Linked DNA regions of Callithrix jacchus. The protein of the gene in region 1 interacts with the protein of each later gene in a pairwise test. Links are inferred from orthologs where the notes say so. Each region holds a gene or a part of one and is shown in the gene's direction. Other genes may lie near its edges.

Region 1 (3,500 bases):
TTATAGCAAGGGAGGAACAGAAGCGAGCAGCCCAGGAAAAGCAGCTGAGAGACTTTTTTAAGTCTAAAAAGAAAACAAATCGATTTAAAGCCAGACCCATTCCTCAATCTACTTATGGTTCAGCTACCAAGGGCAAGTTAAAAGAAGAAGAGCTCTATCGAAACCTTAGGACGCAGCTGAGAGCCCAGGAGCATTTACAGAACTCATCTTCTCTGCCTTCTAGGTCAGCTTGCGGATGCAGGAATCCCAGGTGTCCTGAACAGGCTGTAAAGTTGAAATGTAAACACAAGGCTAGGTGCCGGACTCCTGATTTTGAGGCCCTTCCTGAGAGATACCAGAAACACCTCTCAGAACATGAGTCTCCAAAACTCTTAACCGTGTGTAAACCATTTGATCTTCATGCATCTCCACATGCATCTACTAAAAGAGAAAAAATTTTGGCAGACATCAAAGCAGATGAAGAAAATTTAAAAGAAACACGTTGGCCTTATTTGTCTCCAAGGCATAAGTCACCAGTAAGATGTACAGGTGTAAAGCCTGTGCCTTATACCTGCAACCCTCCAGTGCCCACGGTATCTTCCAGAAAACGAGAACAAGCCATAAGGTAAGTAACTAAGACACAGTACTGAATGACTCATGTTGCCAGATGAGTGTATGCAGCTCTATGGAATTTATGTTTGTGAATTTGAAAATACATAGAAATTATTATTGTATCTATAATATATTTTATTATATAATATAGGATATATAATCAGAGGGTATTCTAAGAATTGAATGTATTTTTCATTTTATAAATTTTGGGGGCTTAGAAAATATTAATCTTAAGATTTCTAGTTTTACAAATCAGATCCTTTTCAAAAGGTTGCCTTTTTTCCAATTTTGAATTATCCCATGTTAAATCTTTGCTAAACAACATTCTGATTGGCTTCAAGTGGATTAAGCCTTAGTTTGTTACCCTCAGGAGATCACTTGAGGAAAAGAAAATATTGGAAGAAGAGAGAAATCGGATCCTAACTAAACAGAAGCAAAGAATGAAAGAATTGCAGAAACTCCTGACAACCCGGGCTAAGGCTTATGACTCACATCAAAGTTTAGCTCAGATATCTAAATGCAAAGTAAAATATCTCAGGTATCATGAAAAAATCTTGAACCTCCAGACCACTGGTTTTCAAACTTACTTTCTTTTTTTTTTTTTTAATCAGTAGATAGCAAAATATGAGCAGATTGAAAATGGCATTTGTGTTTCAGTTTATGGATTTAAATTGTCATCAGTTACTTACGTTTAGCACACACACACTCACTTTGTGGTGAGAACCAACATATATACTCAGCTTCATGGTGAGAACCGTGAAGCTATGTTGATGAATAAAAACATCATCTATTGTGGCCTTGGTTAATAGCTATAATTTTATACCAGCATCTGATCTTGTTCTTTATATTATTTTTGATTATTTTTGATTGCAGTAAACAGATATATCAAAGAGCTTTGTTCTAAGGTTTGCATGAAGTCTTGATAGCACAAATTAACACATTGATGTTAAAATCTATTATGTGATGTGTTCATCAGCACATATGTTAATGTTTAGTAGCATTTTGTTAGTTTCAATATAAAAATAAAGGTATTTGAGGAATGATCCAAGATGGCCGATCGATAACAGCTCGGGATTGCAGCTCTCAGTCAAAGAGCAGAGAACTAGAGGACGCCACCCTTTCAGACAAATTCTGGTCGCTCACAGAGCAGAAGATCCCCAGTGGAGGAACCACACGGGTTGCCAGTGCGACTCTTGTGGCCGGCGCAGCGGTTTTGCCGGCACCTCGGCGCGGCAGCTCTCGGAGCAGAGTAAACAAGGCTGGCTCCCCTTCTGACCGAGGCTTGAAGGACCCACACGAGCCGCCAGCGCGACTCTTGTGGCCGGCGCAGCGGCTTCGCCAGCACCTTGGCGCGGCAGCTCTCGGAGCAGTGTAAACAGGGCCAGCTCCCCTTCTGACCGAGGTTTGGAGGACCCACATGGGTCCCCAGCACGACTCCTGAGACCGGTGCAGCGGCTGTGACGGCACCTCAGTGTGGCAGCTCTCGGCGCAGAGTAAACGAGACTGGTTCCCCTTCTGACCAAGGTTTGGAGCCCTGGGAAGGCAGAGTCACCCATTACGGACACAAGAAGGAAGCCAGACAAGAGAATCCTGGGCAGAAAAGCACCATCAGTCTTAACGCTGCTGTTCTGGCCCTGGGAACTAACAACTTGGACGTCCAATCAAGAGACCTAATCTGAAAGTTGGTAATTTCAAAGACGACAGGAGGATAAATTTACAATGATGGGAAGAAACCAGCGTAAAAAGGCTGAGACTACTCAAAATCAGAACGCCTCTCCCTCTAAAGATGATCACAGTTCCACATCAACAATGGAACAAGGCTTGATGGAGAACGAGCGCATCCCAATGACAGAATCACTCTTCAAGGAATGGATAATAAGAAACTTCTGTGAGTTAAAAGAACATGTTGTAGCCCAACGTAAAGAAACTAGGAACTTTGAAAAAAGGTTTGATGAAATCCTATTGCGAATAGACAACTTAGAGAGGAATATAAGTGAATTAATGGAACTGAAGAATACAATACAGGAACTCCGAGAAGTATGCACAGGTTTAAACACTCGAATTGTTCAAGCAGAAGAACGGATAACAGAGGTCAAAGTCCAACTTAATGAAAGAAAACAAGAAGACAAGATTAGAGATAAAAGGATAAAAAGGAATGAGCAAAGTCTCCAAGAAATGTGGGACTATGTGAAAAGACCAAATTTACGTTTGATAGGTGTACCTGAATGCGACAGAGAGAATGAATCCAAGCTGGAAAATACCCTTCAGGAGATTATTCAGGAAAATTTTCCTGAACTAGCAAAGCAGGTCAATATTCAACCCCAGGTAATACAGAGAACACCACAAAGATATTCCTCAAGAAGAGCAACCCCAAGGCACATAATCGTTAGATTCACCAGGGTTGAAACGAAGGAGAAAATACTAAGGGCAGCCAGAGAGAAAGGTCAGGTTACCCACAGAGGCAAGCCTATCAGACTTACAGCAGATCTCTCAGCAGAAACTCTACAAGCCAGAAGAGAGTAGGGGCCAATATTCAACATCCTCAAAGAACAGAACCTTCAGCCCAGAATTTCATATCCAGCCAAACTAAGCTTCACAACTGAAGGAAAAATCAAATCTTTTATGAACAAGCAAGTACTCAGAGATTTTATTACCACCAGGCCTGTTTTACAAAAGCTTCTGAAAGAGGCATTACACACAGAAAGAAACAACCAGTATTAGCCTTACTAAAATATACCAAAAAGTAAAGAGCACCAACATAAAGAAGAATTTTCATCAATGAATGGATAAAACAGCCAGTTAACATCAAATGGCAGTAACCCTAAATTTAAATCTGTCCCGACCCGCGGGACGAGCAACGGAGACCCTAGGGAGGGAGTAGGGATTGAGAGAGAGACAGGAGACGCGAA
Region 2 (3,984 bases), on another chromosome or scaffold:
GAACTGGGAATAGAGGGATAGATACAGACTTGCCTGTTTGTCTTGCCCCACCCTTCTAGTATACACCCCCACACAGCACAAACCAGAATGATGGGGAGGGGAAGCCAATAACCCCCCAGCCCCACTGCCTGCACAGACACATTCTACTCCATGCCTGCCTTAAACACCCCATGTCATGATCAGGCCTAGTCTATTCAGATCCCTGGATTCTAGAAAGCAGTGCGGTGTCCCTAGGGCCTATGCAGATTTCCTGGGACAGGACTGGTCTGCCTACAGCCAACTGGATGGTAAGAATCTCCCTGACTCGCAGGTTCGGTGGATTGGGAAGAAAAAAACATTTCAAAAAAATCTCCCTGAGAATTCAGGAAAGGCCTGGCTGAGTCAGGTTCAGTTGCATCTGCAGCCCTGTCCTGTGATGGACAGTGTGTGTCATACTTGGCTGTGAGGGGTCAGCTTTGGTCCTCCAGCAGCTTATTCTCTGCAGTGGATGGATTTCAGAAGCCACAACTCACCGAGGTCTCCTGCAGCTCATATGGCCCAAGTACCTGTAGACCTACCCACATGCTGCCTTGAGTGACATGGTGGGAGGGAGCCCTTGGGGCCTCCTTGCAATACAGGCCAACTTCCTGTTTGTGCCTGTGGGTGGGACTTTATGAGTCTAAAAGAAGCCCAGCCATGCCCCCTGGGAGGTCAAAACCGGCAGGCCTGCTCACCTGGGCAGACACCTACTCCAGGGAGGGGGCTGTGCTGGTTCTGCTTGGGCGGCCCCAAGTGAGGTGTGTGCATGGTGGGGGTAGGTGGGAGCTGCTCTGGTGAAACTCAAGTCTTCTTTGTGTGCTTCCCAGGGGTTTTCCTTGTACTTGGGTATTGGGCCCAGAGTGGACTGGTTGGGCTCCCAACCGAGCAGGGGGGAGAGTGGCGGAGTCAGGCTCTATAGGCAGCTTAGTTAAGGCAGCCAGGTAGCAGAATTCTCGGTCACGTGATGATCGCCCCTTTTCCCCAGGTGGAAAACCAAGTCCGGTAAGCTGTGAAGTCAGAGGCCAGAGAGGCATCCTCCGCCACTGTCTAGCCACTGTTGGGCTGGGCACTGGGTCGGCTGTTGGTGGGGTGCGGGGCAGACCACTCCCCTCCCCGGGTGGGGGGCGCGGCCTGAGCCGCCCTGCCCCGCCCCGCTCTGCTCCACCAGGTCCTGCCAGGCGGGCGCCGGGAGCCGGGAGCCGGGAGCCCGGAGCCCGGAGCCCAGAGTTCGGAGCGAGCTAGGGAGCCGGCGTTGTCGCAGCGAGGAGGCGAGCGCGTTGGAGCAGGAGCGGCGCCGGAGCTGTAGCCGAGGCGCAGCTGGCGCTGGGTGAGTGGTGGGCGGCGGAGGTGCAGGAACTCCCGCCTCCTGCACATCCCCGCTCCAGAGCGAACTTTCCGCTTCTGGAGAAGCTGGGGGTGGGGATGAGGAGTGGGGTCGGGCGCAGGCGAAGAGTCAGAACAGGGAAGCGACACGGAAACGCATGCCAACGGGTCCCCACACACGCGTGCACAGACCCACGCCCGCACTTGGGACATGCGAATACACAAGCACTCGGAAAGGACGCGCCCAGTTGGCTACCCTTGCACTCCCAGGGACAGCGCCAGCCGGCGCGCGCGTACCCCCAGCGGCCAGGACACTCTGCGGTCGCGTATTGGGTGGGGGAAAGGGGCAGCCCCGTGCCCGCAATGGAGGCGGGCCGGGTGGGACGCACCCAGAGGTTCCTGCTTCCTGGCCGCCCGCAGGTGAAGACCAAGACGTAAACAGGCGTGGCGCACGTGATCGCTCCGCAGATCAGTGGCCAGTGCTCCCAACCCCACCACGGGGCGGGGACCCCAACCCCAGTCCCGGGCGCGTTTGCCTGGTCCCAGGCCGGACGGCGTTCCATTCTCCGCCTGGAGCCGGGATAAACCCTCTCCCAGGCACCGGAGCACAGCGCCCCCTGGAGCCGGGGCGGAGCAGGAGGGCCGGGCTGCTGGGCAGGGCCGGGGTAACTCGGGCTCCTGGACGTCCTTCTTCCCAGCACATTCTTGGTGTCTACATCCCGGAAAGTTTCGGAGACAGGCCCTTGATGACAGTGGACAGCTGCCCCCGCCTATTAACCCCAGCCCAGAGAGCAGCTGTCTGAGCGCCTGAGGGTCCCCTTCCTACCCTCACTTCCACTCTTTGTGGGATTCCGAGTCTCCTCCCCCGAGAAAATTCATGAGTGTAAACGCCCCCTCAATACTGGAGTGGGCCTACCCCCCTAGCAAAAGGAGGGCGAGCTCCTCCCCCCAGGGAATGAGGGAGTGGGCAGTAGCTTGATTCCTTTTCCCCGCCCCACCCCCCCACCCCTACACACACACGCTGAGCCCAGCTGCTGCCTGAGATGGGCAGGCTGCCAGAAAGAGGAGGAGGCTCTCTGTGCCCCAGGAGGCAGGGATCAGGGCAAGGCCAGAGGAGGGGGCTTTGCTGGGGAGAGGGGCTCAGTCTGTTCTTGTGAGGCTGAGGGTCTGGGGTGAGTCTGAGGGTGGCTGGGCTGTGTTTCCCTTTCCAGGGAAAAAGAAAGAAAAACAACCCTATCCATAGAGCTAAAAATAGAGCTGAGAGCGGGCCAGGGCTGTGGCCTGGAAGGGGGGGATGCTCCTTCCTGGGGCCCGGACGAGCTCTGGCAGGCCTTGGCCCTGGGGGGGAGGGAGTCCTTAGGGGAGAAAGGCTGTCTTTGCCCAGGGATGCAGGCATCAGCTGACCTGACCGGGTCACCGAGACCCTTAAGGGAAAGGCTGTGCTATAGGATATTTGTGAAGCACGGCGTGTGTGTAAGAAGTTGTCCGTGTGAGTGAATGTCAATAGAGGCTGTCAATGTGTGAAAGATGGCCAGGAGACTAAGTGCATTTGAGACTGTGACTGGGTGCGAAGGACTGCGAATTGTGGAAGCCTCTCCACAACAGGCCTGTGACACCGTGTCTGTGTGTGACATGGACTGGAAGATTATGGAAAGAAGGAACGCGGTCCCACGTGACAGCTGAGACTGCTTGTGGCTGCGTGGTGAGGCTGCCTATGGGAAAGGTCGTGTGGGTGTTAGGGACTGTGTTGTGCGCGAGAAGGTGAAAATGTCTGCGATCCTGAGAAAGTGGAATGTTGTTTGCCGTGAGGCTGGTGTAGGTTTGGGCTGTAGGCTGGAACCGGCTCGCCCAGTGATATTGGGGAGCCAGGACTGCCCCTCTCTGAGAAATGGCCTCTCTTTTTAAAAAGTGATCCCAAGGGGAGGCCGGCCTGGGTTCGCGGGGGAAAGGACACCGTGCCGGGGAGTGGGACAGGGCCAGTGTGGTGGGGGGAGGCTGAGTGTGTTCTTCGAGTCGGCCGCCAGGTGGCGCCGCCTCCGCGAAGCCCAGGTTGCCGCCTGCAACCCGCCGCGGGTGGGGCAGGCGCGGACCGAGCTTTGGCCACCGTCTCACGCTAGGGCGCGGGGCCCCCGGACCGGAGAGTGGGGGGCGGCCGGCCCTCGGCCTCCTGCTTGGGACCCTGAGGCTGAGAGCGTGTCAGGGAATTTTCGCCTGGAGAAGCCGAGGGGGAGGGGCGGCCGCCGCCGCCTCGCCGGGGCTCTTTGTGCTGTAACAATGACCAGCTGCCGCCGGCCCCCGGGCCCGGGCTGGGGCGGAGGGTGACCGCCGCCGCCGAGCCGAGCCAAGTCCCCGGACACGCAGTCACAGGGCGTCGGAAGGAGGGCTCCCGACTGCCGCCGAGCAGCCCCTACGTGCGCCCCGGCGGACTCGCGTGACGCGGGTGCCGGAGCGTGTCCGCGGCCCGGGGCGGGGACGGCCCTCGGACCCTCCCTTGCGCAGCGCCGCCCACTCGCACTGGGCGGGGGCTGGCCTGGGCCGGGGGGCGCCGCGGAGGCGGAGGCGGGGCCGGCCCGGGCCGCTCGGAGTGGCGGCGCGCGGGCCGGGATCGGGGCCGGAGCCGGGCGGCGCGCCTGTGGAGCGCTG
Region 3 (4,039 bases), on another chromosome or scaffold:
GGGCTCAAGTGATTTTCCCACCTCAGCCTCCCTAGTAGCTAGGACTACGGGTATGCACCATCATACCCAGCTAATTTTTTTGATTTTTAATAAAGTAAAGGTCTCACTATGTTGTCCAGGCTGGTCTCAAACTCCTGGGCTCAAGCCTCAGTCTTTTGGGACTACAGGCGTGAGCCATGGCGCCTGGCCTTTCTTAGTTTTTTTAAACTCTCTTTTGTACACTTACTAAAGGATAAGTTCCTTTCATTAACTTAAACACCAATTTAGGAACCCGTCAGTACTTCATATTATGCCTACTCTCTGGGGTGTATTAAAAAATATTGTTCATTATTCAGCACTTAGAAGAGTACCTGGCACATAGTATGTGCTCACTAAGTATTTGGTGTCTGAAGAAATTATGAGTAACAGGAGTTAAAGTGACATTTATAAAAGCAATTCTGAACTATGGAACAAACTTTGGAATTTGTTAAATTCTGGAAGGTTCAAGATTTTTTCTTAGATGATTCACATATCGTACATAATCCAGATCTCCTTCCAGCACTTCAGTCAAGAAAAAAAAAAAAAAAGTCACCAGCTCCAAGGTTTTAGTATGAAACGTTCTTTGGCCAGGACCTAGGTAGTACTATCGCTCACTCAACCGGAGCTCGATCCCTTGCCCTTTTCACTTGACCGCCGCTTCGAAACACGCCCCTCCCACCTCTCATCCCAACCCACACACAAAGAAGGAAACCAAAATTTCGCCAGGTCCTAAGAAAACTCGGCGAGGCCAAGTGTGAAGCCACAAGACGCCGTTTTCAGTTTTCCGTTCTCCCCCTTCTTATCAGATTAGGTTTTGTCCAGATAACGTTTTGCTCTTTCGGAAGAGAAAGGACGTTTTGTGCTCCTCGTCGGGATCTGGACAACAATAAGCGACCCGTTTAGGGCAGCCACGGCGGCGTTTTAAGTCCGCCTACTTTCTCTCCAAACTCTTCCCTGCCCTTCCCAGGCTCTCTTTCGCCTGGAGAAGCCACCTCGCGGCCAGGCGGCGCGGCATGCGCATGCCCGGTGCGCGCCATCTGCACCCAGTGTTGCAGCGCGCCGCACCGTAGGCCCTCCCGTGCCGCCGGCAACCGGCTCCCACTCTCCCTCCAGCTCCGGGCCCCGCCCCGCACCCCTGCCCGGTCATTTGTGGGTGGGCCTGGGGCCGGGAGGCTCCGAGCCTGCGGCGATTGGCTGACGTGGTGGCTGCGCACTGGGCCTGAGAAACTCTGGGCGAGCTCGCAGAGTCGACTCCTCAGGCGACGCCGGGCGCATCTCAGGTAAACGGTGGGGCAGGGCGGTTTGGGCGACGGAGAGTGATAGTGGTGGGTATAGATCAGCCCTGGAGTTTTCGACCGCAGACCTTTCCTTGGAGAAGGAAATGGGGCAGCGCAGAGTCTGTACTCGGTGAATGCTGACCCCGCGCGGCCGGGAGTGAGGAGGGGCCCTCGAGGGTCAGTGTGGTGGGGTCCTCAGGTGGCAGACAACTCTTTCTGGGTATGATTTCGGTTTTGTCTCCAGTTTCCTAATACTGGAGCTGAGCAGCTGAGCATTCTTTCAGGGGTGTATGTTTTTTGTTTTTGTTTTTTGTTTCTTTTTTTCCCTCTTAAGTCGCGGTTAGTCAGAAGCTTCCAGTCCTCGTTCAACCTCTGATCGACTCTGTGTCCTTGAGAGAATCACTTAATCGTTTTATATTTCAGTTTTCACACTTGGAAGTGTGAGCGAAGAATGAGGTGCTTCTTTAGGCGCGCTGAGCCACGCTGTAAAAAGATACTGTTAGGTTTTTTTTTTTTTTTTTTTTTTTTTGGTTCACAATGTCCCTGGGCCCAGTGCAACATTTGGGAAGCATTTTAAGCTCGATGGATGGAGGGAACTGAAGGGTACAAGACAGCGCATTATTAGTCAAGGATGGTAGAAAGAAACAACTTTCCACAAGCACAGACATTTGGAAAAGCTTCTTTGAGCATTTTATGTAGGTTAAATCACAGTAGTAGTAGACAGAGATAAGCCAAAACAAAGGGCCAAACAAAACTACACTTCAAGGAGGTTTTTTTCCCCAGATAATTTGAATATACTATTACAAATTATTGGCTTTTCAAAGCTTTTCCTTGTGATCTGTTATGGAATTAATCGAAAATGATTACATAATCATTCTATGCAATCATATGCCAATAAAATTAATTAAAACAAAGCTGACTTTTTAATATAAGGTAATAGGAATCAAGACATTTCATTGATGGGAGATAATGATGGCAATCAGCAAAATGAATGGGAGATGTATACAATTTTCCTTCAAAGGCCTAGAGTTTATAGAAATATTTATGTTGCATTAATATTTAAAGTATAAAGACATATAGATAAATGCATGAATCATAAGTGTACAGCTCAGTGAATTTTCACAAAGTATATATATCCACATATCCAGTATCTAGATCAAGAAAGAGCATCATTGCATTCCAAAAGCCCCACTTCATAGTTCCAAAGATAATCGTTATCTGGACTTCTAACATTATCAATGAATTTCACCTATTATTTGCTTTACATAAATGGAGTAATATGGTATTTAGTCCTCTGTGTCTGATTTTTACTCAATATTATGTTTATAAGATTTATTCAAGTTATGTTTCAGTTTATTCTCATGCTGTATGTATAGTATTCCACCTAGTTTTGGCTATTACCAATAGGGCTGCTATGAAGCTTTTTATAAATATTTTGATGAAATTATGTATACATTTTTATTGCATATATGCCTACTAGTAAAATTACTGTGTTACAGGATATGCAGATGTGTGTTTGTGGTATACACTACCAAAAAGTTATTTACATTGTGTCAATTTACACTTTGGTGGCAGGCTGGGAATTCTGTTTTTTCCAAATGCTTCAACATTTCACATTGTCTTTTTCATTTTAGCCATTCTAGTAGGCATATAGTGACATAACATTGGGATTTTTGCCTAAATTCCTTAATGATTAATGGTATTGAACACATATTCATGTGTTTACTGGCATTTGGATATCCTCTATTTCTGTAAGGGAACAGACAGTAAATGTAGGCAGCCCTTGCTTTGTAGAGTTTCAGTTAACCAAGTAATGTGTGAAGCTTGGATTACCTGTATTTTAGGTTGTACAGGCTGTACAGTCTCTGTTCCATATTCATTTCTCTTTTTTTCCTCTTTTCTTTTTCCCCAACCCTTTAAAAATGTAAAAACCATTCTTAGCACGTGGGTTATACAAAAACAGTTGTTAAAAGATAACTTTAAACACATTAAAATTTTAGAGTTTATATGAGCATTCAGCAATTTCATAAATTGGGTATCACCAGACCACAAGTGGTTCAAGACTCCACCAAGAGGGTGTGAGGGAAAAACTTTTATAAGGTGTTTATGGAAACAGACAAAGAACATATTTGATTGGTTACAGTGGAATGTCTCTAGTTAGAAGTTGGTTGGTGGTTTCTGACTGGTTCAACTCAAGTTAGTTTTACTGTTTATATTGAGTTGGGTTTTGGTTTGTTTACATAGGAACCCAAAGTGCTGGAGCTGTCTTAACCTAATGGCTTTCCAGTTAGTTTTTTTTTTTTTTTTTGACACAGTCCACTGGCTGGATTTGTGTTGTGGGCCATAATGTACTAACCCCTGCTCTATTGAAAAATATTTGTTCAGTCTTTTGCCAATTGATTGCATGTGCAATCAGTAACAGATGGGCTATGTTGGAGAAGTATAGATCCATAGTAATATATCTATCTATCTGTCTATACCTCTCTCTCTCTCTCTCTCTCTATATATATATATATATATATATATATATATATTTTTTTTTTTTTTTTTTTTTTGAGACAGGGTTTACCTCTGTAACCCAGACTGGAGTGCAATGGGGTGATCTTGGTTCACTGCAGCCTCTGGATTGCTCCTGGACTGAAGCAATCCTTTCACCTCAGCCCGCAGCTTCCCAAGTAGCTGGAGTTACAGGCACACACCACCACGCCAGGGGTAATTTTTGTATTTTTTATGGAGATTGGGTT
Region 4 (3,993 bases), on another chromosome or scaffold:
CAGTTCTGGCAGCTCTCTCCATATTTGTGGAAACGATTTGTTGGATTATCAATGTAAGGTATTATCTGCCGACTCACTGCTAAAATAGATCAGGATTTAACTAACACTCCTCTCCACTTCTAACAATTATTACCTTATGTTCTAATCTTTGAATTATATACTTAAACCTCGATTTTTTTGTTGTTGTTTTGTTGCTCAAACTTAGCAAGATACTGGTTCTGCTGTCTTCCATCGGCTGCACCTTTGCCTTTACTTCAAGGTTGAGAACATTGACCTTCAGGTCTGTCATCCTGCTTAAGAGTTTCCGTGCTTTGTCTGCAAGATGGTGCTAAAAGCTTAACCCACGAGCAGTATTTGCTGGGTTTTGTCGGTGGAGGACAGACAGCGTGCTCTGCCTCGCTGGCTACCAAGTGCTGGGGCTGCAGCCTGTCCCCTCCAGGTGCAATGTCATGTCCCCAGATGCTTAACTTGTGGTCTACGGGTACCTTTTAAAACTCGTATGCAACACTGCTTGCAATTTTTTCCTTCCAAGTGGACTGCTTCGGGCATCCCTCCCCGCCCCAAATTCTCAAGGGGGTCTGGCACCCACCGTTTTAGGGAGCGTCAGAACAATTCCCAGGGCTCAGATATCAAGGAGACAAAAGCTACCGCTCAATGGGCGTTTTCTTAGCCCTAAACTCCCGATCGACCCCGAGTCTCCCCGCCAGATTCGGAGCAAATCTGAGTCAAGATGCGAGAGGGGCGAGCGGGCGGCGGACCAAGCGCTTCTGGCACCCTTGCGCCTCCCGCCGGCACGAAGGACTTCCCTGGACAACCGCTCAACTCTCAGAGGTCGGAATTCTAGACCCTCAGGCCCTCGTTGCCTATCCACGGACGCGCCGGCCTCGGGACACCCACCGCAGGGGTAGGACGCGGCGCGGCGGGCTCCACAGCCCAGACCCCAGAACACGCTCCTAGGAGCCGCACCGCGCAGATCAGGGGGCGGGCTTTCGGCCGCACCCCTTCACTCTTTCCCCGCCTTCTTTGTTTATTCCGGGCCCGACATTGGCTGCATGCCCTCGAGACCGGGCGAGCCGCGCGCCTTTGGAGAGACGCGATTGGGCGAAGTCGCTGCCGCTCGGCCAGCGGCCCGCTCCCGATTGGTTGAGGAGCCGCCGGGGGTTTGAATCGCATCCCCAGCCGGGGAGGGTTCTGCCAAAGTGCCACGTTGGGCCCGGCGGCGGCGTGAGGAGCCGGCTCGGGGCCCTCGCGTCGGAACGCCCAGCCGTTGGGGCCGTTGGGGCCGTTGGGTGGCGCGACGCGAGTCAAGGAGGCGGCCGGTCGGTAGCGGCCGCCGGCGGGAGCAGGGCTGAGGCGGAGTGGCGGAGCCTGGGCGGCGGCGCGTCCCACCCGAGGGCGGCTCTGGCTGAGGGCGGAGGGACCGGGGGAGAGCCCGGGGCAGCGGCTGAGGTGGGACGGCGGCGGTGGGAGCCGCTGCCCCCGGAGGACCCAGCGGAGATGCTGGCGGAAAACCTGGTGGAGGAGTTTGAGATGAAGGAGGACGAACCGTGGTACGACCACCAGGACCTCCAGCAAGGTGAGGGCGGGGGCGCCCCTCGGGCGGGCGGGTGGCGGCCTGGCCCAGGAGGCTCCCGATGCGGAACTGTTAAAAAGTTGCTTTCTCTGGCGGTGGAGGATGCAGGTGCCGGGAAGGGCTCGGGCGCACCTGGCGGCGGGGCCGGCGGTGCCTGCGGATCCCGCCCGCAGGAAGCCTCGGCGCGGGGCCCACGGCCCTGCAAATACGCAGTTCAATATCGGCCCCAGGGCGCGTGGGGGCCAGCGGCGCGCCAGGCACCGTTTTAAGCGCTTTCCCTGGATTAACTGGTTTAATCTTCGCTGCATTCCTCCAAGACAGACCCGGGTGAACCAGGTGCCCCGCAGTAAGTGGCCGAACCCGGGAAGCCGCCCCCTCGCAGCCTGTCGACCCCAGCGCCTTTCATGGCCAGCGCGGAGGGCCGGCCGCTGCAGGTGGTGGTGGTTTTGCGCCTAGCGGGAGCTGTGTGCTCCGCACGTAACGGAACTCCAGGAAGCAGTAACTTTTCAAAAATTTATTTTTTAATGTTTGAGGGTACATAATAGGTGTATATATTTATGGGGTACATGAGATGTTTGGATACAGGCTCACATTGTGAAATAAGCACATGATGGGAAACGGGGAGTCCATCCCCTCCAGCATTTATCCGTTGAGATACTAACAAACCAATTACACTGAAAGTAACTTTTGTTACCCCATTTTCCAGATGGGAAAGGGGAGGCTCAAATGGTTAAGTCGCTTGCCTAAAGCTAAGTGTGGAGGGAGTGTTTTTTGAACCACACACTCGGAATTGTAGTCACTGCTCAAACCCCATCTCTTCTTTTCCATCCTAGTTTACAGCTTTTTTCAATTGGGCGTTAAGCTGTTAGACATAGTTCACCAGATGCCAATTGAAACGGCAGAAGAGCCCTTCTACCTCTGTCACTTCAGTTTGCATGCCAGCTTTCACTTAGAAACAGGCCTGCCGGTGGTGTCTCCAGAGAACAATCGTAGAGCGGCCCGCACTTTGGGACCAGTGGGCCCCCCTTTTTTTCATACTAATAGGAGCTAGCAGTTGGGAAACACTTTTTATGTGCCTAACACTGATAAGCCCATAACACAGTTGCTCATTTAATTCTCCTGGTAACACAATAGAGGTAGTAATGTTGGGGAGTGCTAGGGTTCCCCTTAAGACTCCAGAACATTCTTAACCACTGTGCTGAATACTGAATAATCCTCAAGAATTTTTCCAGGCATCTTCAGTTTCTGTAATTTTGTGTAAATGCTTTCACTAATCTTGCAGTGAAAATTAACATCTCATTTAGTTGAATATTAAATGATCATGATGCTTGTTCATGCTAACCGAACGTGGCAGAAGAAAAGAATCTAGACTTGAATAATTCAGAAAAGGATAATAAGCACCTCTTTTGGAGGAAGATAATTTCTTAAATTAACGTGCAATCACTTTAACCAAAGTAATTCACCTTATTATGCCTATAGACTCCAAGCTACTTAGTGGTTGCCGTGCAGTGTTCGGCACCATCTTCTTTAGGTCAAAAAGACAAATCTGTCATACATTTTAACAAACCTGTTTTCAGATTTCCCCATAAGGATTGATGGCCTAGTTTGATAGTTTCTCCAGGATTTATGAGGCAACCACTGTGCCATTGCAATATTTCCCTATAATTTAAGCAATCTGTATCATCATAACTAAATATTTTTCTTTCTTGTATTTAAGAAGCATAAATCTTTAAGGGAATAGAGGGGGTAGGTTCCTTTTTCAGGTTATTTCCAGCATCTAGCATAATACTTGTTACATACTGGAAGCCCAATTTTAATATTTGTTGAACTGAACTAAAGCACTCACACAAAATTGTTTTCCATGGCTCTCTTCCATCAGGTACCTTACTCCACGCTGCATTCTCCCGCTGTGGGAGATTGTTAGGAACAACTAGCTGTAACACTTCAGTCTACTGAGAAGCAAGTGCAAGGTGTCAGGGTTGCAGGTGGAATTCTCTTTAACCTCTGATCAAAATAAAGTCATTAGCTCTTCAAGTTTAACAAACCTTAAAAACACAGGTCTGGGCTGGGTAGAGTGGCTCACACCTGTGATCCCTGCACTTTGAGAGGCCGAGGCAGGCGGATCACCTGAGGTTGGGAGTTCGAGACCAGCCTGGTCAACATGGTAAAACTCCGTCTCTACTAAAAATACAAAATGAGCTGGGCGTGGTGGCGGGCGCCTGCAGTCCTAGCTGCTCTGGAGGCTAGGCAGGAGAATCGTTTGAACCTGGGAGGCAGAGATTGCAGTGAGCGGAGATGGCACCCTTGCACTCCAGCCTGGACAAGAAGAATGAAACTATGTCTCAAAAAAACAACACATAGGTCTGAACCTCTTTACTGCCAGTTGCATTTCTGTGTTTTTCAAAGGGCTGTTACATTTT
Region 5 (3,500 bases), on another chromosome or scaffold:
CTGGATCCTTGAGAAGGCCTATAAATAAGACCATTTGTTTGGTCTCAAGATGACTTGCATTTGCAAACTGAAGAATGTTCCAATAGAAGTTTGATGGTGACACACCAATCTGCAAACTGGCTCAGCCAGTAGTCAAAACAAGTCACTATGAGATCTGGGAAGCTGAAGACTTTGAATGGGTCAGATTATCCTGCATCTAGTTTGAAACAGATAAATTGGAGCTATAAATATATAGCCTCCCTTTAGATTTTCAACTTGAATGATCCATAACAAATAGGGGATATATGTACACACCTAAGGCGACACAGAACCATGAGAATATGATGATCAAACTGAAATCACTTATTTAAACTGGAGTTCTTTTTATTACAATGAGTAATAGTTTACTAAAAATTGGAAAACATGGTTTGTTCTTCAATGAATACAAGATCACTTAAATAAATCCAAACATCTGTAGTTATAAGCAGGAAATCGAGCAATGTAAGATGTTTAACACTGGGAATGACAAACACTTACAAGGCATCTGATTTTCATAGGAATTTGTGTAAATAATTCAGGGATCCCAAAGCCAAGTGCCTATAAAAGAGATAGGTAATACAATTTAGGAATGTGGACCAGGTGAGTGCTTGCCCCAGATAAGGAAGAAGCTGTTAGCCAGCAATTAATAATGCCAGCTGTTTCATATTTTCAAGAAAAAAAAACAGAAATCAGAGTTGTATTCTAAAACTTCCCTGATTTTAAAAAAATGTTGCCAAGTAGTTCAAATTTCTTAAGAAGCTGTGAGCCAAACAGAACAAATTCAGGGGCTGTACTTAAGCAGCAAGCCACCAGTTTGCACATTTTACCATGTCACAAAAAGTGAGCTACAGCTCTGCATGTCTCCAAAATGATAACCCAAACACAACCCAGCTCTTTTGGAGGCCAGCCCTGAATAGCTGGGCTCCTCCTGAGGTCACATCTATCATTGTAGTTGTTCCTTCTAAAATAGACAGTTTCCTCCTGCTAGAGATTTGATTTGATGGTGTCAGCATATGAAGTTCCCGTCATTTCATGACATGTCTTCTTTCAGGCCTGACGGAATCGGAACTGTGACTGTTGAAGAAAAGGAGCGTTTCGAAGAAATCAAAGAGAGACTCCGAGTTCTGCTGGAAAATCAGATTACACATTTTAGGTAAGGATCTGGGGCTTGAGGGCTTTGATTAGGAGATGAGAGTGGAAAAAGATAGAGGGCTTAATGTTCCAAAACTGTAAATCTACCAGAGGATAAGTTGGATATTTGGAAATAACTGAGTAGAAGAAGCAAACCAATCAGCCTTGCTTCCGCAATAACCAGGAAAAGTTTGCATTCTTAAGTTTATGTTATTTCCACTTAAAGAACAAATCCTGCCATGTTCGAGCTGACCCTGGTCATCAATCTATTATAGAAAGTTGGATTTGAAGTTTCTTCAAAGTTCCTAAGTTAAAAAACAAAAATTCTTGCAAATCAGAACATAGTGAACAAGAAAGGAAGGCAGTGGTACTCCTAGGAGAGTCTTCGTTTTCTCCCCTACCTCAGAAACACGACTAGCTGGCTGCACAGGGAAAGAACGAACCTTGGATCCACCTGGGTGGATTGAAACTTCCCTGCATACTCGAAAGAGCCAGCAGATTCTGCACTTGAGCCTTACACCACATTGCCCACTTCTCCCTTGGAGCAAATTAGGTGTTTTTAATGCTGTCCTAGTGGTTCTGGACCAGAGATCCTGAAATAGAAACTGAAAAATAATACTAGCATTTCTAATGGTCCCTATTGATTAAATACTTCCTATATGCCAGATACACAACTGGAGGCTGGAGAAGTGTTAGCCCATGTCAGAACAGCTTTGTAAAGTAGTTATCATAATCCCCATTTAAACCAGGAATAAAACGAGACTAAGAGAGGTTAAGGAACTTGCCCAAAGCAAGCCAGCCAGCAAGTGGAAGTGGAATGCTTACATAAGATAGTCTGTGTTTAAGTATCCATGCTAGTCTCTCTGTCCCATGTGCAGTGTCCTGAAGGGCCAGTGACAACCTGAAACCAGTCACTGGAACTCATAGTGGTATCTGACATAGTTTTTTCTGTGCCATCAAAATCCTCCTGGATAAATCTTTATTGATCTTACATTATATGTAAAGTGCATTACCGGTAGCAGAAGATCCATAACAGTAGCAAACCGTAAGCAGGGAAGGACAGCTAGCAGAATCAATAATTTGCTCTAAATCCACTTTTCTATTCCATATATCAATCTTTTGGGGACTTATGTAAATGTATTTGAATTTGAGCCAATTCTAACTAATACTTTTTTAACGCCAGTCTCAATAATAACATATAAGGTCACATTTGAGCTAACGAATAGTTCTCCTTCACAATAGAAATCTAAACAGAGCCTTATGTCACCACTCTGAATATTCTTTTCTGCTACAGACATTTGCAGAGTCCCTCTTTAGTCATTATTCACACATACACATATATACATTATATACACACATATATGGTGTGAATTCAGATTAACATAACACAACGTGACAAAATAAAAAGCATTTTCCATTCCTCAGAGAGAGTTGCTATAGGAATCAAATTGCAGCATATTTCATGCTAAAATGTAATAATTTAGGCAACCTGAAGAATTTTGTCTTTTTTAGGTATTGCTTTCCATTTGGTCGACCTGAAGGTGCTTTGAAAGCTACTCTCTCACTCTTGGAAAGGGTAAGAATAAAAGTAAAAGATAGATCATGTATATATAAAGAGACATAAACATAATTGTAATGAAATGTTTTGGTTGAATGACCTAGTTGTAATTTTTATAGGATTTGTTTACCATTCAACAAATATCAGAATAGAAGGGAGGAAACTGCCAAAACTCATGATATTCTATCTTCAAACTCCCAAATAGGATATACTGAAGATATGTTCCTAGCCCTTCCCTGATTCATGGACAGCCTTTGCCAATGCTTTGCAGTTCTGGTGCTTTCTCTTTAAGCATGGCTCTCAATCTGTATTAAGTCACAAAGAACTGATTTTAAACTTGCACACTTCTAAGAAATGTGGATGAGTGACACGTTTGCTTGAACCTTCTTAATAATCCTTCTTTTTTCTACTCGAAGGTTTTGATGAAAGATATTGTTACCCCAGTGCCACAAGAGGAGGTAAAAACAGTCATCCGTAAATGTCTGGAACAGGCTGCGTTAGTCAACTATTCTCGGCTCTCAGAGTATGCCAAAATCGAAGGTAAGGCTCCCTTCTGCCCCCAGTTTTGAACTTAAATTGTGATATGCCTCCCTGGGGAAGTCTTTCTTTTTTCTGAAGGGCACCTGAAAACAGTGGTCTATCTGAGTATATTAAGCTGAAACCTGAAAGTACTTGAAATGTGGAAGCCTCCTTGGCTGTGGCCAAGTAAATGAATTAAAAGACATTACAGGGGCTCAGAAAACAGCCTTTGTAAGGGAACAATATTGAAAATAAGATGTTATCAGATAACTAA
Region 6 (3,500 bases), on another chromosome or scaffold:
TCCCTTTAATTTCATACCTCTAGAATATGGTATATATTAGTTCACCTGCCCTCTTCACCATCTCAACCTTTGGGCTTTGCAGGTGAGCTGCGTTCTCTGCGGGAGGAGATTTCCCTGTTAGAGCATGAGAAAGAAAGTGAACTTAAGGAAATAGAACAGGAACTACATTTGGCCCAGGCTGAGATCCAGAATTTGCGGCAAGCAGCGGAGGATTCTGCAACTGAACATGAGAGTGACATAGCGTCCCTTCAGGAGGATCTCTGCCGGCTGCAGAATGAACTTGAAGACATGGAACGCATTCGGGGAGATTACGAGATGGAGATTGCCTCCCTCCGTGCAGAGATGGAAATGAAGAGCTCTGAAACATCCAATAGTTTAAGTCTCTCAGATTTCTCTGGGTTGCAAGGTATGAGAGCAGTCAAGTCTTTCAGTAAAGTCAAGCAGAGGAAAGGAGAAAATATGTAGGAAAATGGTAGAAAGTGGTGTTAGATCATAAATTGGGAACCTCTAGAAAAAACCTCCAGGTTTGGGGGTGATGGATCACAAGGTCAGGAGATTGAGACCATCCTGGCTAACATGGTAAAACCCCATCTCTACTAAAAATACAAAAAATTAGCTGGGCATAGTGGCATGCATCTGTAGTCCCAGCTACTTGGGAGGCTGAAGCAGGAGAATTGCTTGAACCCGGGAGGCAGATGTTGCAGTGAGCCAAGATCATGCCACTGAACTCCAGCCTGGCAACAGAGCGAGACTCTGTCTCACAAACAAACAAACAAAACAATAAGAACCTCCAGGTTGAATTGAAGACTGTAAAAGGGCCAGGCATGGTGGCTCATGCCTGTAATCCTAGAACTTTAGGAGGCCAAGATGGGAGGATCACTGGAGCCCAGGCATTCATAACAAGCCTGGGCAACCAAGTGAGACCCTATCTCTTCCTAAAAGAAAATTTTAAATAAAGGGGGGAAAACCTACCCAGATGTTACATAACTGGTCCATGGTGGTGTAAGAAATAGCACCATGGAGAAGTACCCTGGGAATTCTTCAGAGTCATTGGGTCTTTGTTGATTTGACTATGGGAAACCCCTTCCTGGGAAAATTTCCAGCTCTAGGATGGGCAAAGAGGGACCTGTCACCTTGGGAAACTCTTCCTGCTGCCCTGGCATCATGGCGCTTTGCCTGGACTGCTTTGTGGGGGGCCTCTGGCCCTGCTTCCAGGTGCAGGGATGCTAATTCTTAGACTCCTTTAGCTCACCCCAAAATAGAAGCTTTAGGGGGACAACAAATCAGAGGACAAGACAGCCAGAGAAGAAAAGTTATTGCTAGTGATACATGAGATACCTAAAAGCCTAGAGCCCTGCTTTCAGACAGTGAGTCTCCCAGCTAGTTGCTAGGATTCATGACATCAGAGAGTTTGCCTTTATTCTGAGGCTAGATTTATGATCTGAGTATAATGGAGGTCCTATATTTGGCCAGGTCAAGCAGAGGCAATCAACAAGGAATCAAAGAACTGCAAGTTTTTCCAGCTGGACCAAACCTCTCAGAAGAGCCTTTAGACTAAATGGTGCTGGGAGAGGAAGGCTGGCACAGTGGGAAGGCTTGGGCTGGAGTCAAACAGACTTGAGTTCAGAATCTCAGTTCCACTAATTAGCAGGATGAACATGGGTAGTCTGGTTATGGTCTTTCTCTGAGCTTGTTTCTATATCTGGGATATGAAATCGAAATTGGTTAATAAAACCTTTTTTTCTTTTTCCTTTTTGTGGAGAATGGGGTCTTGCTATATTGCCCAGGCAGGTCTCAAACTCCTGGGCTCAAGCTGTCCTCCTGCCTCTGCCTCCCTAAGAGCTGGGATTACAGGCGTGAGCCACTGCACCCGGTCAATAAAACCTTATAGCTAGAGGGGATCCTGAAACAGGAAAAGGACCTTAGGGAAAATGTAAAGAAATCTTAGTCAAATATGGAGTTTAGTTCATAGTAATGCATCAATATTTGATTCCTTCGGCATGACAGGTATACCATGGTAATGTAAGATGTTAACAATTCCGGAAACTGGGTGAGAACTCTCCCAGGAAACTCTGTACTATCTTTGCAGATTTTTTGTAAATCTAAAACTATTCTAAAATTTAAAGTTTATTTAAAAAAAAAAACTTACAGAGCTATTGTGGGAATTAAATGAATGTGAAGCATGTTGAAATCACTTGCACACTTATTGAATACGAGGCTGAAACTATCAAGTCTAATGCGTTAGTTTTCATTAAAGATTAGTTTCCTTCCTTCCCTCTATGGTAATCTGTAGTATTCTAAGGAATTCTGATTAGAATTAACAGGAAACATTAGAAGTCACTTTTAGGCTGTTGAATCTTCCAGCAGGTAAGATAGGTCGTGGGTTCTACTTAGAACAAGTTAGTGCTCTTTAAATATCAGTAGAATTAGTGTTCTAAGAGACATAATTCTTTTTTAATTATTTGCAAATGGACACCGAGTCTCGCTCTGTTTCCCAGGCTGGTCTTGAACTCCTGGGCTCTAATGATCTTCCTACCTTGGACTTCCAAAATGTTGGGATCACAGGTGTAAGCCACTGCACCCAGCCAACATAATTCTTCATCATGAAGAAACAAAACAGATACAGGTGTTTGTATCATTACAGCCTTAAAAAGTATTGGTGGGTGGGCATGGTGGCTCCTGCCTGTACTCCCGGCACTTTGGGAGGCCAAGGCAGGCAGATTACTTGAGCCCAGGAATTTGAGACCAGTCTGGGCAATATGGCAAAACCCCATCTCTACAGAAAAATTCAAAAAATACCCAGGCTTGGCGGTGTGTGTTATAGTCGTAGGTACTCAGGAGGCTGAGGTAGGAGGATCACCTGAGTCCAGGCAAGTCAAGGCTGCAGTGAGCCATGACTGTGCCACTGCACTCCAGCCTGGATGACAGAGTGAGACTATCTCAAAACAAAACAAAACCAAAAAACAAAAAGTATAGGTATAGGTGACTGGTGCTTAGAGACGTGTGCTGGGGTATGTCAACTAGATCTCTTCTAATGCTTGAGGATGAGGATGGGCTTTTCTGTCAGCAGATAAAATGCCATTTAGAAAGAATTCTTTTTTTTATTTTTAATTTTTTTGAGACAGAATCTCACTCTGTCTCCCAGGCTGGAGTGCAGTGGTGCAATCTTGGCTCGCTATAACGTCCACCTCCCGGGTTCAAGTGATTCTTCTACCTCAGCCTCCCGAGTAGCTGGGACTACAGGCGCCCACCACCATGCCTGGCTAATTTTTGTAGTTAGTAGAGATGGGGTTTTGCCATGTTGGCCAGGCTGGTCTCAAACTCCTGACTTCAAGTGATGTGCCCACCTCAGCCTCCCAAAGTGCTGGGATTACAGGTGTGAGCCACTACGACTGGCAAGAATTCTTTACCACATCCTGACCAGTGTATTTGGTGTGGGAATAAAGGACATAAAATAAACTCAGAATGCCTGAAAGACAGGTACTGGCAGTCACATGTGG
Region 7 (2,381 bases), on another chromosome or scaffold:
TTTGCCATTTTGCCCAGGTTGGTCTCGAATTCTTGAGCTCAAGCAATCTACCCACCTCAGCCTCCCAAAGTGTTGGGTTTATAGGTATGAGCCACCCAACCTGGCCATTCATTTTCTTAAGCTTCCTAAGTGATGACTATAGGGAAAGGAACTATGTGCTGAGCTCCCAAGGTTTCCCTAGAGCTGTGATTAAGTCACCTGTGAGCACCCTCCTGGGTGACATGACTTAGGCAGACTTTGCCCAATTGAGACACGTCCTTTCTTAGCCATGCTTGGCTGTCACCTGGGTTTCTGATGGGTCTGGTCTCCTCCTTAGCATTGCCTACACCTTTCTCACCCTCTGTAGGTTCATGGAGTTTGAGGCTGAGGAGATGCAGATTCAGAACACACAGTTGATGAGAGGGTCTCAGGGCCTGTCTTCTGCAACCCCTTTGAAACTTGATCCTCCAGAGCTCCTGGCCTCGGAGGTTTGCCAGCAACCAGGTGAGGCTACTCAATTTTGACAGGAGCCATGGGCCAAAGGCTCAAAGGGTGGTGTACAGAAGCCACTCACAGATTAGAGAAGGCATGGCCCGGGCTCTGCCACTTTCCCTCTGGAGAGTGGCATTTGATGTTCCAAACAGACCATCCCATAAGAGGCTGGGTTCTCAGGTTCCTTTTGTTCTGAAATAGGTATTGATCTTGGTCAAGTAGACTAACTACTCTCACCAAGACTGTAAATTAGGCACATAATACCTCATCTGCCTAAATGGAAGCTGGATCAGGTGGTTTCTTGGAATTTCAGGGGTTCAAAAATTCCTCATACAGTGATTCTTAGACCTCTAGGTCCTAAATCTCCCATGACTGGTACTTTTTCAGGTTGGCCCAATCCAGCCTGGAACCACTTCAATGTACCCAGATTGCTGGCCTTACAGAGCTGGGAGGCAGAAGCTGTGGTTTCTGTGCCACTTCCCATTCTCCTGACTATCTTTTCCCTTAGTGTACACTCTGAAGAAGGCAGCCCCTAAGGCACGGGCCCCCAGCCAGCGTCAGCGTAAACCCCGGAGACCTCCTGTTCCTGAGGCACCCGAGGAGATCCCACCAGAAGCTGTGCAGGAATATGTTGACATCATGGAAGAGCTGGTGGGGACTCACTTGGCCACTGGGGAGTCAGATGGAAAACAGAAAGAGGAAGAAGGGCAGCAGCAGGAGGAGGAAGGGCTGTATCCAGATCCAGGTCTTCTGAGCTACATCAACGAGCTGTGTTCTCAGAAGGTCTTTGTCTCCAAGGTGAGCTGGGCCTGCACATCTGGTTTCTAGCAGATCCTTGTGGATACTCCCAGGAACTAATGCTCTGGGGTTTGTCCAAGGTAGTAGGAATTAGGTTTTATTCTGTAACTGAGAAATGTGTGTGCATACATCATGAGAATGTGTATAGTTGGTGGTAGTCAGTTTACAACAATACAGGAGAGGTAAGAGGGGACAGCTGGGGAGCTCATGGCTTCTTCTCTACAGCCCCTTGCCTCACAGGTTACCTGCTTAAGGGCTCATATCACTTTTCCTTCTGTTCTCCAGGTGGAGGCCATCATTCACCCTCAATTTTTGGCAGATCTGCTGTCCCCAGAAAAACACAGAGATCCCTTGGCCTTAATTGAGGAGCTAGAGCAAGAAGAAGGACTCACTTTTGCCCAGGTAAAAATGGGATATAGGGAATATCAGGACAAGAAGCGTGCAAGATGTTATCTAACCCTACACTGTCATGGATAATATGGCTCTAGAGATGAACAGTTTCAGAATTGGGCTTTAGGTGCAGAACAAGTGGGTAGAGGGCTCTGGAAACACAGGAAATGAGAATGTAAGGGTTCAAAGCATGGGAATAAGGCACAAGAAGGTGGGAAAGAGCTGCAGTATCTGTCTTTGCTACCATCGCTTAAACTACTTGCTTGCCTCCCTTGCCCTGCCCAAATACCATCTCTTACCACTCATTCAGTCACCTCTTCTCACAACCATGTGCAGAACTGATTATTTGTCCATTTTCTTCCAGCTGGTCCAGAAGCGACGCTTGGCCTTGGAAGAGGAGGAAGATGTGGAGGCGTCTCTAAGTTACAGTGGAACTCAGCTGGAGTCAAGTCCTTCTGTTTCTGATGAGAATGAAGATGGGGGTGGGCGGTTTTGGCCCTTACCTGGGCTTCGGGGAGCTGGGGGTGCTGTTTACCTTGGAAAGGTTTCTTCTTCAGGAAAACAGGCAAGAGAAGTGCATAGTGGGCAGGAGAGATCCCTAGATAGCTCCAGAGAGATGCACAGGAATGGGAACACTCTGCCAGCCCCCAGCAGTTGGGACCTGCAGCCAGAACTTGCAGCTCCACAGGGAACTTTGGGATCCTTGGGTATGGAGAGGAGAG

The links.
Region 2: the proteins of FAM161A (region 1) and LZTS2 interact in binary tests that used the Homo sapiens proteins (3 or more experiments, as listed by UniProt). The two-hybrid records come from large-scale screens. The link is inferred for Callithrix jacchus from reciprocal best matches to the Homo sapiens genes FAM161A and LZTS2.
Region 3: the proteins of FAM161A (region 1) and MIPOL1 interact in binary tests that used the Homo sapiens proteins (3 or more experiments, as listed by UniProt). The two-hybrid records come from large-scale screens. The link is inferred for Callithrix jacchus from reciprocal best matches to the Homo sapiens genes FAM161A and MIPOL1.
Region 4: the proteins of FAM161A (region 1) and CDR2 interact in binary tests that used the Homo sapiens proteins (3 or more experiments, as listed by UniProt). The two-hybrid records come from large-scale screens. The link is inferred for Callithrix jacchus from reciprocal best matches to the Homo sapiens genes FAM161A and CDR2.
Region 5: the proteins of FAM161A (region 1) and CADPS interact in a two-hybrid assay, tested with the Homo sapiens proteins (2 studies listed by BioGRID). The two-hybrid records come from large-scale screens. The link is inferred for Callithrix jacchus from reciprocal best matches to the Homo sapiens genes FAM161A and CADPS.
Region 6: the proteins of FAM161A (region 1) and CCDC136 interact in binary tests that used the Homo sapiens proteins (3 or more experiments, as listed by UniProt). The two-hybrid records come from large-scale screens. The link is inferred for Callithrix jacchus from reciprocal best matches to the Homo sapiens genes FAM161A and CCDC136.
Region 7: the proteins of FAM161A (region 1) and NUTM1 interact in binary tests that used the Homo sapiens proteins (3 or more experiments, as listed by UniProt). The two-hybrid records come from large-scale screens. The link is inferred for Callithrix jacchus from reciprocal best matches to the Homo sapiens genes FAM161A and NUTM1.

Annotation. Positions count from the first base shown.
Region 1 is NC_133515.1:52,292,843-52,296,342, forward strand, and holds part of FAM161A (protein FAM161A), read left to right. Parts: coding exon 1-604; intron 605-961; coding exon 962-1,129; intron 1,130-3,500. UniProt on the Homo sapiens protein: Involved in ciliogenesis.
Region 2 is NC_133513.1:93,952,708-93,956,691, forward strand, and holds the start of LZTS2 (leucine zipper putative tumor suppressor 2), read left to right. Parts: upstream 1-1,184; 5' UTR 1,185-1,345; intron 1,346-2,381; exon of another isoform or gene 2,382-2,513; intron 2,514-2,681; exon of another isoform or gene 2,682-3,043; intron 3,044-3,896; exon of another isoform or gene 3,897-3,984. UniProt on the Homo sapiens protein: Negative regulator of katanin-mediated microtubule severing and release from the centrosome. Required for central spindle formation and the completion of cytokinesis.
Region 3 is NC_133509.1:71,854,757-71,858,795, forward strand, and holds the start of MIPOL1 (mirror-image polydactyly gene 1 protein), read left to right. Parts: upstream 1-1,239; 5' UTR 1,240-1,298; intron 1,299-4,039.
Region 4 is NC_133513.1:22,965,431-22,969,423, reverse strand, and holds the start of CDR2 (cerebellar degeneration-related protein 2), read left to right. Parts: upstream 1-1,193; 5' UTR 1,194-1,497; coding exon 1,498-1,576; intron 1,577-3,993.
Region 5 is NC_133516.1:44,309,964-44,313,463, reverse strand, and holds part of CADPS (calcium-dependent secretion activator 1), read left to right. Parts: intron 1-1,069; coding exon 1,070-1,171; intron 1,172-2,661; coding exon 2,662-2,725; intron 2,726-3,123; coding exon 3,124-3,247; intron 3,248-3,500.
Region 6 is NC_133512.1:118,379,540-118,383,039, reverse strand, and holds part of CCDC136 (coiled-coil domain-containing protein 136), read left to right. Parts: intron 1-82; coding exon 83-406; intron 407-3,500. UniProt on the Homo sapiens protein: May play a role in acrosome formation in spermatogenesis and in fertilization.
Region 7 is NC_133509.1:54,044,561-54,046,941, forward strand, and holds part of NUTM1 (NUT family member 1), read left to right. Parts: intron 1-346; coding exon 347-483; intron 484-979; coding exon 980-1,269; intron 1,270-1,554; coding exon 1,555-1,671; intron 1,672-2,023; coding exon 2,024-2,381. UniProt on the Homo sapiens protein: Plays a role in the regulation of proliferation. Regulates TERT expression by modulating SP1 binding to TERT promoter binding sites.